Linked DNA regions of Drosophila melanogaster. The protein of the gene in region 1 interacts with the protein of each later gene in a pairwise test. Each region holds a gene or a part of one and is shown on either strand. Other genes may lie near its edges.

Region 1 (8,040 bases):
CAACAACTCAATTCGATGGGCAGAAAAAAAAAAACAGCCAAATGAGTCGGCTAATTTGTATTGATTTTTTATCGGAAAAGCCAACTCCCTTTTTTCTTGCGCCCCATACTTTTTCAGCTCTATGTTGCTGGTGCGTATTTCTGTTTGTTTTGAACTTTCCCATGAATAAATTTTGCATATTAATTGAGCGACTGTCATCAATATGTCTGTGCGCAGAACGGAACCCACCCAATGACCAATGAGCATTCCCTGCGCCAGCCTCATCACAGCATGGCATCATTAGTTGGCCTAAAAAATCCCATCAGGCTTTGATTAACATTTTGTGCACACAAATGCCGGCCAAATGCAAGAGCGTCTAAATGAGTTGCATCTAATTGAGTGACAAACACGCCACGAACAACACAACACCACCGACACACCAGACCCAAGCCCAGACCCAGACCGACAGCAACTGGCCACCTCTCACAAACTGTGCCAATTTGTTTTAAAATGCATCATCCCGGCGCTCAATCAGCTCTGCTCGGTCCAGTCCGGAACTTATCCCACCCCAGGATCCCCCAATGTCCAGTGCCTGCTCTCGACTGTTTTTCAATTTGCATGCAAGCGTAAATTACTCTCGGCTCGAGACCCCTTAACCCCTTCCTGGAACATCGGACCCTCTCCCCGCACGGATTCCGCCCGCTGGTCGGTTAAAAGGTTTGTCCTTTGGTTGTGTTCTATATGCAGATTGCCATCGCTGTCGAGGACTGCTCCGTTCTTGCTCCTCCTTTTGGTGTGCCTGACGGAATCTTGTGCCTGACTGCTTTAAATAACTCTGCGTATCTTGGTTATGAACATAAAACACGTTTTTTGGCACCCCATTTGTCATTAAGCTACCAATTTGCTCGGCTTCAAAAACATCTCAAATTTCCCACCAATCGAACGAGAGGGGGGAGCTGAAAATTAGCCAGGTTAAAAGCCCAAAGAAGTGAGATCAAAAAGCAAGCGATGAGGACGAGGATGGCGAGCCTTTCCCGACGCCGGCCCAAAACTGATAAACACACAAATCTTTAAGACCGCAATTTAAAATTTTGAAATGCATTTTAATTGAGATGTTTCGTAAGTTAAAACAATTTACTTACTGCTGTGTATTTAAACAAAATAATTAACTATAACAAGGATAGCTTGAAAACATTATTTGAAAATCCGATTAGGGCTGCACAAGTGCTCTTTTCTGTGGAATTTAACCATCCACTTGTTTAGTTAAGTGTGGTGTAATCAAAATTGTTTTACATGAACTCCGAAAATTTCCCCATTAATCTTGAATAGCAACTTTAACAATTTCACGGAAGCAGTTTTGACTTCGTGTACATATTCACCCGATCCGTTCGGTGGAAATGCAAACTGACAGCGGTTGATATACATTTGCGATCTGGGCGCCAGACTTGTGTACGATTCGCATGCCTAAGCAACTCGACTGGCTACCCAGTTAAACAGGAGAAAAAATTGGCGATATAGTGAGGATTTTTATGGTTGTACGCAAAAATTGTGATATCTCTGGTAAATATGATTTATAAACTAAAATGAAATATTCCTTATTTTTCATTTGAATACAAATTGCTATTACTCTTTTTCAAAAGCATGATTCATTAAAAAATATGGTAATTCAAGGAAAGTTTGGTTATAAAATTCTAAAAATATTCTATGGTAATAACTTCTTCCGCCACTTTCGACCTAAAGTAATACATTCAAAGTAGATGCAATTTTTCTCAGTGTACTTATCTACCCACTACCGCAAACTAAGCCGAAAGACCTCCTTCCGAGTCGCTAACAATGTACAACAACTTGTAGAATGGCCATAACAATTATAAAACACGAACACGAGTCGCTCGCGGGGAATTGCGATTGCAATGGTAGGCAGCGGGGTGAGGTGTCTGCGGAGGCAGACTGCGGTTGGCAACTTGGATTACCTTTATCTGGCTGCCGGGTCATCCGGAGAATTCTGCGCCCAGCACTTGGCAGCATTCCCCGATGTCGTCGCTGTGTCGTGTATCTTTGGTGCGGCTTTCGAGGTGACAACTGCGACAGCTAAACGTCAATTTGTATAAATGTTTGCAATTGCCACCGATGCGTCGGTTGTGGTGAGTGTGGAGTTGTTAAAAATAAAACACACTGAACGCTGATGATCGATGCGGGGGTCGCAAAGGTCCTACAAGGAAAAAAGAGTATCTGTCAGATGCAGAGAGTGGAACTGGGAGCAAGAGAGCAGATCATAAATAAATATTTCCTTAGCAATTTGCATTTTTTCTGACCGCCCGAGTGTTTGTTGTTTGCCGTTCTGCCCCAAGTTTGTTGGCGTTTTTTGAGAGCGCACTCGGCCAAACGAGTTTCGATTCGGATGCGTATCCGCGAGATACTCTTCCCGCGCCGCTCTTTGCTAATTGATTTATGAGATTGCAAATGCAGATGCCCCCAGCCAAGCTCTTTCGACACTCCGCCATAAAAAGGGCTAAAATTTGTGCGATCCAAGGTACAAGAAATGGTGCAAGAAATGCGCCTTTAAAGCTATGTGAATTTTATCGTTCTACAATCGGCACGGGATCAATTGGTGAAGATGTAAATCGGATTTGGATGAAAAATGTATCCCCTTGCCTATGCAATATATACAGTTTCATGCAAATCAATGACAAAGCCTTCCGCTCTCACTTTCGTAAACATTTTTTAAATAATATGTTGTAGTACCCTAGTATGCAATTATATTAAGTTTTCACATTACCTCGATGATATTGATAGTTAATATAATAAGTAAGTAATTTTCTTTAAATTCAATTTTTGTATGAGCAAGTCAAAATAATTACATAAATTCATTAAATTTAAGTCACTTTATCACTTCATTTATTTAAATATTAAATTAATAACTTTTGTCTCTGAAACACTAAACGAGAATCAAAAACGGTTAATTAATGAGTATTATCTTAATGTTTTCTGATCGCTGAGCCATTCATTCCCCTACAATTTGGTCACCAATGGGAAACTACTGAAGTACCGAAGGCCCTTTCGAAATCGATTCACTGCCCAAAAATCGAACTCTCGACCATTTTTGGTTACCTTTTTGGGAGTTGCGTGCATCGCCTGAGGGAAGTATCTTTTAATGGAGCCGAGCTTCGGCAAAATTATCTCCGCCGTACTGTATAAACGATCCTGACTAATATAACGGCTGACGATGAAAGGGGACCTTTCAATGTGATAAATGCGAGTGCGACACACGCAAATCGCTGCGTCTAAAGGTGGCATAAATACGCGGCGCAGGCCGAAACCCAGCTGAGTGGTTCGACCTATATCGTCGGCTAGACGCCCAAACCCGATTCGATGCTCCCCATATCTGGCGCTTCTTCTTCTCGCGCCACGCGGAAAGAGAACGGAAGAGAGAGAGAGAGCGACCAGAGTGCAAATTTACGATCGGCACATGCAGGCGGGAGACGTCAATGTACGGCAACAAAGTTGCTCCACTCGAGCTTCTCGCAGAGATTCGCAAAAAAACACGCGAACTTCAAGAGAGAATCGCTCAGAGAGGAAGAGCACGTCTTCGATGTTTTATGCTCCCCATTAATGGGGCAAATGCACTTTACACTCTCGCAGACCCGTTTCTCTCCGTAACTCTCTGTTGCCCAAGATGCTTTCGTTTGAGTTCTTCACATACCAACGTTGCTTCGAGCTTATGAGTTTGCTAAAAATCGTGGGAACCGATGAAAGAAATGCCCTTCTATCGTATAAATGTTTCTGTTTAAAAACTATTTACTTAGTATTTAAAATAATTGACCGTTTTTCGTATTTCACATATTAAATAGCAACACAGAAGTAATGAATATTTTAAAACATTTTCCGTTCAAATACATAATTTTTTAAAATACATTTTATTTGGCTGATATTAGCGGAAATTAGCCCTTAAAAGTATGCAACGCAGGTAAGGAGAATTAAGTATCCGCAGTGCGGAACCTATATTTTTCGCGGCGAATTTAGCTCATATTACATACGATTTAATAGTTTGCAATACTTTTTTATAGTTCATAGTTCATATTGTAAGAATTGTGTTTAAATTATGTTATTTTTAGCATGGTTTACTTATGGAAAAGAGCATAGTTAAGGGTTTACAATGAAAACGGTCAAATAAGGGTATCCATATCTGGTACCAAACCAATTTGCTTTCTCCCAGTTGATGTGCAGTGCATCCAGCAGTCGAGCAGGTTGGATGCTCGCACTCGTTTCTTTTTTCGCGGTGCAGCAACCAGAGTGCAAATACAAATAGCAAGAGCGTTGCGTCGCCAGTCGGTGGGCCCGTCTCTGTGCCAGAAACACATGCTCAGTTTTAGGTCCGCCCGTCCGCCTGAATGTCCGTGTATCTGTCCGCTGTCTTTTGGTCTGCTAGTCGGACTGGTACTGGTCCGAGTGTTAGTATCGTGCACGGGGAGCTTTAGCTTTGTGGCCGCAACCAGTTTGCTGGCATCGATCGTCCTTTGCAGGTCGTGCATGTCGCGTTGGCGTCTCGCGCCGTCCGCGTTCCGTGCTCGAAATCACAATCTCAAGCTGAAGTGAAAAGAACTGGAGCGGATTCGGTACAAAATTCTGTGCGATAGTTTTTAGTTGCTGTGCGAGGTCCGAAAATATCTCTAAAATGCGTTGACCTACAGGGAACCAGATCGAGCCGCGAGTGCCATGCTAAACAAAGTCGTTTGCGGCTACAGCTTGTACGGTTTAAGATAACAAATAAAAGAAATAAATTTTTACCGGCTTCACACTCTCACTCTCGGTCCACGAAGCACTCCTGACCGTCTCGTACCCAGCCGATCGGACTCCCCGTATCTCATCGAGTTCGCCGAGTGCTAGTGCTATATTCTCTCACTTTGCTTGCATAACCAAGAGCAAAGCACACCTCGCGGAGGCAGATCGCAGATGCAGATACAGATACATATACTGCTAGTGGTCTAGTAGTGGACCTGGAGATACTCTAGCGAGTGCATGCAATTGGCATTGTACCTGGTAAGTGAACGATGAGTTACGAGCGCTCTGCGGCCAAAATGTGCCACCACTCCGCTCCGTTTTGCCACCTTTTTGCCCGGCATTTGGGGGCGTTGCAAACTGCCTTGTAATTGCCTGACATAAATGCTCGTGTGTACAAGGCTTAATGGCGATAGCAGCAGGTACGCTCAGCGATTGCCATCTACAACTGGCGGTATGACTGCTGAATGGGGGGGAGCCAGGGGTTCAGGCTATTGTCTGACTTCCAAATTAAACAGGAAACGAGCAACAGGTCGCGTTTTACAGCCACACTATGAGACTCCCGCATTAGTTTCTAAGATTGGGATAGCGTAGGCCATTGCCATTGTCGTTTGCGATCGGCTATCCTAGATGACTGCATACATATAAGGCAAATTGGACCAAGGTCTAAGTGGTTATGAGGAAAATGCAAATGACAAATACGGAAACCAACTGGCTTAAAACGATAAACACGTGCTGAATATTTTTATTCAAATTAAAGTTGAAGCGAAGGCGTTTCTTGTTAATTTTAAAGCTTACCATCGATTATTCACGAGTGCTGCAATTATAAAAAATATATGTAAATTAGAACTTAAATTTTTGCCAATGCTCATTGTGTATAGCGCGAAAGGACAGTTTACCTTTAATATTTTGTGTTATCTTGGGGATAATTATTCATTTCTTTTGGCTATTATTCTTGTCATTTGTAGTCGAAATAACATAGTTAGCCTTGCTAAGTTAAAACTCATATTTTAGTGGGCGTAAGAGATCATTAGTAGAAACTGCAGCTTGCTTTCACTCACGAAATCTCGACTTTCATGAAGACGGATGACGCAAATGGCAAGATCGAGTACACCTGTCTGTAGTCTTAAAAAAAAAGGTATAAGAACCTAGCATGCCGTTTGACTCCTCAGCAAACATGCAGACTTTTTACTCATAGATTTATATTAAGTAAGTTATTAAACCATATTAGCAAGACGAATATTTTAGTATAATATAAATCTGAGCTTGGTACATTTTCCCAAGAATATATACAAATATAAAATACCTGTAAATGCATTTTTCTTAGTGCACAGTTATAATGATCTGTACTCAACTTTTTAAGCTGCACCCCACTTGCAATTATCATATAATCGACTTAAGGTGCTTTTGCCATTTATAACGCCGAGCTGTCCTTGGCCCATTAATAACCTGAAGTGGGTTCTTATCGTGATCTCTTCCGCTTTAGACAAATTAATTGAGCATACATGCGCAAGCTGCACATTTTTTATGCTCGCCCGTAATCAATTTAATCCGCTTTTCCTTTGGCAACTTTGACCACTGTTTCCCTGCTTATATTTGTCATTATTTCCACCAAACACAAATATTGAAAACTGATAGCCAGCAGGGTCTTTCTCTTAAAGTGGCTCTTCGGAGGAATTATTTCTCTGCGGGTCTCTCAGCTCATACAAATTAGAGGCGACATGCAAGATAAGCAATCTTGTGCAGTTTTTAAACACACAGGCAAAATAACAACATTTTGCCGTGGCCAGCGGGAGGCGGTGGAAGAAGGGGGCGGGTATCTGGTGCTAGCACGAATGTGAGACCCGTTATCAGCACATCGTTCATGCTCAATTTACCCTCCATTTAAATACAGGGTATTAACTCTTTAGACTCCGAAATTAAGTCATTACAGCAAACGAAAATTGAGACAGACAAACGCTCACACTACATGTCACCTAGCTAATAGATTAAAATTCTCATCGATACTGGCTTTCGTCTATGTCACATATATTTCTCCCTATCTTTCGTTCATTAGGTTCTAATCAATCGTCAAACATTTTGAGTGTGAATCTGTGTGCATAGGCAAGTTCAATGAGTCACCATAATGTCAAACTAAGTGCAAATTAGATTAAACACGAATCAAACACGCCAGCAGGTGTGGAGAAAGTGGACAAGAAGTGTAGAAGAATCTTATATTCCCTATCTATATAATATAGAAATATTAACCACATTCTTCCCATGTATACTTTTTACTTATATTACTTATATTATTTGGTTTTTTTATTATTGATATGTAATTGATTGATGTAAAGCTTTTTTTATTTTTGTGCTTTAGAGGGCCATTTATCGATTTACGAGTATCAACATATTTATAGGCTTAACTTATTTAAGCAGGTAACAATATTTTGGTTCTTTAAGTTTGAGTAAACCCATTAAATTAAAAAAAATGTTTTTTAGAATTCCTCTTTTCCATTAATTGTTATTATATTTTAATATCTTTCTAAAATTGTTATATATCATATGTATATATGTATATAATATATTTACGCACATACATAAGTTAAAAGAGTAATAGAAATGCCACGAATTGCACTTTTATTTCCAACCTAGTTAGATAAGAAGTATATACATATACTATATTTCAATGCCATACCTCTAAAACCCATTTCCAATAGCCCACTTGAAACCATTTCCTCGTATGTAGTGGTTATCGACTGACTGACTGTATATAAATGATTGGAGCTCCTTTGTTAGGTAGTTGCACAAGCCTCTAGAAGACCATTATACCGGAGTACCGTCCACAAATATCCACATCACTCACACGCCCTTTAGAACGAAAAACTAAGCAAAACAAATGCAATAAAATTCGCAGCGCAAAGCGGGCAAGCAGAAATGCAAAAAAGCAATTAAGAGGCGGAAGGCGAAACTAAGACTACGTCGAGCGCACTGCAACTCGAACACAAACAAGTTGCAAGGCGACTGCAACCGGCATCACAACACACTCCAACATTCACAAGTGCAGGGAAAGCAGCGACACCAACGAATCGACAACAACAACGCCAGCCAATGTGTGTGAGGCTGCCTATGTACTAGTCCGTCCGTTTGTCTGCGCGAGTGTGTGTGTGTTTGCTGCATGTGCCAGTATGGTGTATGGTGTATTGGTGTGCAGCCCCCACATTTCTCCAAATGCACGCAACGTCGACGCTGCACAGTGGAGCCAAATCATAGGGCTTTATTCACAAATATTGAAGCCTCCTACATATA
Region 2 (5,723 bases), 600 kb from region 1:
ATCATTTCCCCAGAGAAATTCAAAACAAGGGCATATTGTGAAAGAAAGTGCTAAGTCATATGGGATGTAAATAAGGGTATTTAAAATTCCACTCGTTTCGTTTAGTTTTTGTCGCAAAGTTACCTCAAGCCCTGCAAACACTCGCATTGTACTGGCGAACACACAGCGGCATACGATTTCCATAAATGCACAACATCGCGATTTTCTTGGCCAAATATCTTGGCTAAAAAACTTGCCGGCGGCTGAGTGCTATTTTTTAAAGGGTTTTCCAGTGGGAACAATTCAGGAGCAAGTTGCCACATTAAGAATAAAAAGTTAGCCTTAAATTTTATTACCGATAGTTGGAACAAAAAAGTCCCCAAAGCTAGTGCAAGTGTAGCAACTCGTTGAAGGCCAGCCTCAAGGTCTCTTTGAGACCCATGCCATACAGCGCGTCGTAAATGGACTTTATGTGTGCGGGGCTTAGACCGAGTTTCAGGGAGAATGATCTCGGATCGTGGTGATGGCGGTGCTGGATCCCTAGATACTGCTGGAAGTACAGTTGAGCCCGTCCCCAGTGGCGTCGATCTGTGAACAATCTACTTTCGTGGAGCTCACCACTATCCTCGTCTACCTCATTATTATAGGTGGGAAACTCAAGCCAGCTCTCTATCATCGGCCAATGGAAATCGCCTCGCAGTTCTCGTCTCATTCCGAAATCCGAGTGCGAAAGGGAACCAAACCTGGATGCAGGTCCTCCAAAGCTCCTTATTTTGTTGCTGAACGCCATTTTTCTCAGAAACTTCAATCGTCGGGACGTTGATGTTCGGGGACGTTGATTTGCTGCCGTCGAAATTGGCTGATTTGGGTTGTTTTGACGTGGTAGTAACACATGCGGACCATCCCCAATCATCGCGGCTTCTACGACGCGGGACGGACTAGACCTGCTCCACATTCTCGGAGGATTTGTTCTGATTTCTTCGCTCATAGCCGCGGAAATTTCTGGTGATCGAAGTCCGATGACCGGGCCTTACACAGCTGATGGAAACAAAAAATTTTGGGTGGGACAATTCAACTGTCCACTAAACTGGCTAACTGAGATTAGAAAATATATTTCAAAGTGTTATTTCAAGGCATTTACAAAATATTTCTCAACTTTATATTTAAACTTTACAAACTTTTCACATGATCCAAAATATATATATCTGTATGAGGAGTTAGGACTTATATAGTGCTCTAGTATATTGAGAAAGTATTAAAGTATCAAAACCGCAGATTTTTAACTTCTACATATATTCTGAATTGGTACGAACATTTCTGCAGGGATTGACCCCGAATTCCCTGAGTACAGCAATAGTCGGCTGCGGCATATGCGAGTTCTAGGATTACACTTGCATATAGCACTGATTAAGCGTTTCGACTGCGATTCTGGCAGGCAGCTCTAATTCGACCCCTTCCGGAACTTGATTATCCTGCTCGTCTGCTACTCATATAACAGGATGCGCTATACATTTGTATGAGGCCTAAATGCTAGAAGCTTACATATCCGAGAATTCCCTTAACTGCGTCATCGGGAGAGCCAGTGCCTCGCAGGCGCACACTTAAAATGGCTGCCTTCATTATTCAGCGTGGAAAGTGGAAAAGTCGACTGGCGAAATGAATGATGAAAATCAGTTCCCCAGATATTCCTCTGGCATCCTATTGCTTGCATACTATAAACAATTCGCCTGAATTGAGATGTCAGCAGTCTGCACTCGCGCCGAGCAGCCATTAATAATTGACTGGGACCAGCTACATGGGGCGTATGAGTAACATTGCTTGGAAATCATTTTGATTGGCCTCGGCCACGCCTCTTTTGGCACCATTTACTTCAAGGTACTTGACACTAATTAACATCCCCTATTTGGCTAATTTAATTGCTGCAAGGGCAGGATTACTTTTTATTTTCCAACTGCATCGTCCCAATTACCTGAGCATGTTGGCATAAACCAACTGCTCCTTTTAAGCCCAATGCAACTATTACGTGTGTGAATGTATTGCCGCAGGCTTCAGTGTTAGCCTGGTCTATTGTCCTATGGTGATTGTCCTATGGAGATTGCTTCTCTCTTCAGCTACTGCCTTTTTGGATTGGCTTGTCATTCGTCATCGGCTTGTGAAGCAAAGGTAGCAGAGGAAAAGCAGTAATCTTTATAGTTCTTGTACGGAGTGTGAATGAATGAAATTGCAATGATTACATTGGCTCCCTGCTAAGATCCATTAATTTGATAGTTTTCATAGTTCCCCTTTATTTGTCACAATAGACTAATGAAATCTTTTTTTGGACACAGTTTGGTTGCTTATTCGGGAAATCACAGCTAAAAAGGACAGCACCGCTGAAGGCCATTTCGTTTTTCCATAGTGCCACAGCACGGTCCACAGGGTCCGCAAGGGCCACAACGAGGTCCACAGGGGCCACAGCAGGGCCCGCAAGGTCCACAACAGGGTCCACAACAGGGTCCACAACAGGGTCCACAACAGGGTCCGCAACACGGTCCACAGGGTCCGCAGCAAGGTCCGCCCGGTGCACAGCCCATGTTTTTTTTTAATTTCTGAGAACTAAAAGAAAAGCTATTATACCAACAATTTTCTTAAATAAAAAACTACGTACAAAGTGCTGAACCTAAAAAGCTTGGAAAAGAGCTCAAATTTTGATGTTCTTGGGTTAAGGGAAAGATGAAAACTGATGTTTGCTTACATAGAACTTGCACAGGAAAGTAGAATATAGATTCAAAGCCTTCTAGATTTAAAATAAACAAATGCAAAATTAATAAAAATTTTATATCAATGCCCTAAAAGGAATTTAATTTTGTTCTTTAGTGAATTTTACAATAACGTGCTTAAGAAAATGTCCTGCCGTAGCAAGCAGTACAACTGATCCAGATGGGAACAACAAAGAACGTCCTAGTGAAGCTCGTCGGAAGGCAGAATCAATCACCTTGAGACGTCATTCGTGTAAAATAAAATGGTATTACCAAGAACGTCTCAACCATTTCCATATAGCAACTTGTGCTCGCAGCGCAATACAATCTGCTCGCTTAGTATCCGGCTAGTGTTCCTGATCAAGAAACCTACACCCACATACATATTACGAAACGCATTCCTATTATGTCAACGAGTAACGCCGAGTAAGAGCAATGGTGAACTATCCCAATGATAACATGGATCTGCATTAAGATACATATATATATATTTGTGGCTTTTAACTTTCAGGTGTTAGTTTAACCATGGTGGGATTGTGGTATGGTTTCACAAATCGATTCGGCTGCCAATTGCGAGCATTTAGCACCAACAGCCACCGCAACAACTGCCAAATGGTCCGCAACAAGGTCCACAGGGTCCACAGGGTCCACAGCAGGATCCGCACGGCCCACATCGGGGTCCACAAGGTCCACAGCAGGGACCACAGCAGTAATATCCGCAGCACGATCCACAAGGTCCACAGCACATGATTAATTCGAGAAGTCTAAAATAAACGAAATAAATATGTATACTATTTTAACTTTACAATAAACATTTTTACCAACGGTCTTTAGAAGCCAAAAAAAAAAAACAAGTATTTGGGACAAAACAACAAAATTTTGATGCGAGCAGCACAAGGGTCGAGATGAGAATGATATATTTTCCGAACTTACAAGGTTAGGTGGGTCTGACAGGTCAAGAACGATTTCCATAGCCTACTATGAATTCGAATTATGTTTATGTACAGCGGTTGATGGTTAAAAATAGTTATTATTGTTATAGAATTATTGTTATCGGACATTTGTCCGTTTGCAGACAAATACTATTATTGAATGAGGTTTAAATTCACGGTTGCAGGTTTTATACCCGCCACTCGTAGAGTAATAGCTATGCTATAGTGAATAGAAGAAAAGGTTATTTATTCTTGAGCTGGATCACAAGCCTAGTCGATATGAACGTAGGATGTTCCTCCGCCCCCTCTAACGATCGCAATCCACCAAGAATTGACAATTTTAATTTTCGCAATTATATTACATAAATTATTATTGTCACGCATTTGGTATCCATAGCTAAGACAAAGGTTGCACCATTTAGAAGAGAAAAACCATCGGAAAAGGTATTTTGAAATTCTTATTTTATTGACTAGGCCCGCGAGCTAAGAAGAGTTTATCCGCATTCAGTCCTAAGTTCCACTTTGTGGTTCACAGGAAAAAGATATTTTACATGTTGTGGTTGTTGTTCAGCACCCGCAATATGGCCTACAAGGTCCACAGCAAGGTCCACAAGGCCCGCATGGACCACAGCCCCCGCAGCAAGGACCGCAAGGACCGCAAGGGCCGCAAGGCGCACAGCAAGATCCACAAGGACTACAGCAGGAACCGCAAGGACCACAGGGTCCGCAAGGTCCGCAAGGACCGCCGCACGGGCTACAGGGTCCGCAGAATCCAAGGGGTCCGCAACACATGATGGTTCCGTAAAGTTCTAAGAAAAATTTTGTTAAAACTTCGCATGCTTACACTTTGAGAAATACTCACTTTGAACCTAACAAAGAAATAACTTAGGACGAAAAAATATTTCGATGATTACAGGCCGAGAACCAAAATAAGAATGATGGAAACCTGACTCACAAGTTGGTATATGAATTTGACAACTGTCGAAAATATCCATAGCTAACTAGATTATGGGTTTTGGGATACCAGAATATAATAATAATAATGAATATAATTTGTCGGATCATATTAGCCTTGAAATTCTCATGACTGCTGTCAAATGAAGCTTCGGCTAATTTGGATCACATTCAGTCAGTTCTCCGTTCCACCTTCAATAGTTAACACCTAAATTTTCGGTTCCTTTCGATTCCGGTTGGGAAATATCTTTTAAGAAACAAAATCATGTACATGTACGTCAACCCGAATTACGTTTTGGTTGGGGTATGTATTTATCGGTCTCGTAAGTCGAGTGAATACTTTTAATATGATTTATCAGGGCCCCTGCTGTGGCCCCTGCGGCGGATGCGGACCCTGTGGTGGATGTGGCCCCTGCTGTGGTGGGTGTGGCCCCTGCTGTGGTCCTTGCGGAGGATGTGGACCTTGCTGCGGCGGCACCAGCAGTTTTTGCGGTTGCGGTCCTTGCTGCTAAACCAGTTGACCCGGAAACCTGTCGGAATACTTCCGGGAACTATGTAAATCTCAAAAAATAAACTGTGTGGGAGACAACAAATTATATATTTTTGTTTCTTATTGAAATTAATAATGTAATGTCCTAGTCAACGTAGCTTGGTAGTAGCGGCATCGAGTAAATCAGCTTGTTCCAAAAGTTCGGATGGCTTCTCTCCAGATAGGTGTTAAATGCCATGTAGGTCCTTAGCTCGCTATCCAGACTGTCGAAGTTCTTCACGTTTGGATAGAGCACCACTATCAGACGCTTGCACCGATCGCGTGAGGTGGCGTGGAGGGCCAGTCGGAACTCGAGGCGACCCCAAGTGGAATTCATAAAGTTCTCTGTCATGAGGACAATAATGCGCCGCGAGTCCTTTATAGATTGACCAATGCAATCGGGAATAGATTCGCCCGCCAGCCAGTCTCGCAGGTAGAAGCAGAGTTGGAACCTGGGCCTACCACGTTCCAGCCTATCCACGAACTCCTCCAGCAGAGCCTCGTCCTTATGGGTAAACGCCAGAAAGGCATCGAACCTTTTGTCCTTATCAAGTTCCCGCTTGGCTGACAGACTGAGACACACACCGTGCT

What was found. Proteins that work in one complex are often made in the same cells at the same time.
Region 2: the proteins of dsx (region 1) and Mst84Dd interact in binary tests that used the Drosophila melanogaster proteins (3 or more experiments, as listed by UniProt).

Annotation. Positions count from the first base shown.
Region 1 is NT_033777.3:7,963,439-7,971,478, reverse strand, and holds the start of dsx (doublesex), read left to right. Parts: upstream 1-4,070; 5' UTR 4,071-5,016; intron 5,017-8,040. UniProt on the Drosophila melanogaster protein: Controls somatic sexual differentiation. Binds directly and specifically to the FBE (fat body enhancer) of the yolk protein 1 and 2 genes (Yp1 and Yp2).
Region 2 is NT_033777.3:7,361,065-7,366,787, forward strand, and holds Mst84Dd (Male-specific RNA 84Dd), read right to left. Parts: upstream 2,710-5,723; 5' UTR 2,627-2,709; intron 2,575-2,626; 5' UTR 2,553-2,574; coding exon 2,334-2,552; 3' UTR 2,243-2,333; downstream 1-2,242. Other genes in the region: CG17944 (uncharacterized protein), read right to left, coding at 365-967; Mst84Dc (Male-specific RNA 84Dc), read right to left, coding at 3,298-3,465; Mst84Db (Male-specific RNA 84Db), read right to left, coding at 4,217-4,441; Mst84Da (Male-specific RNA 84Da), read left to right, coding at 4,869-4,907, 4,963-5,115.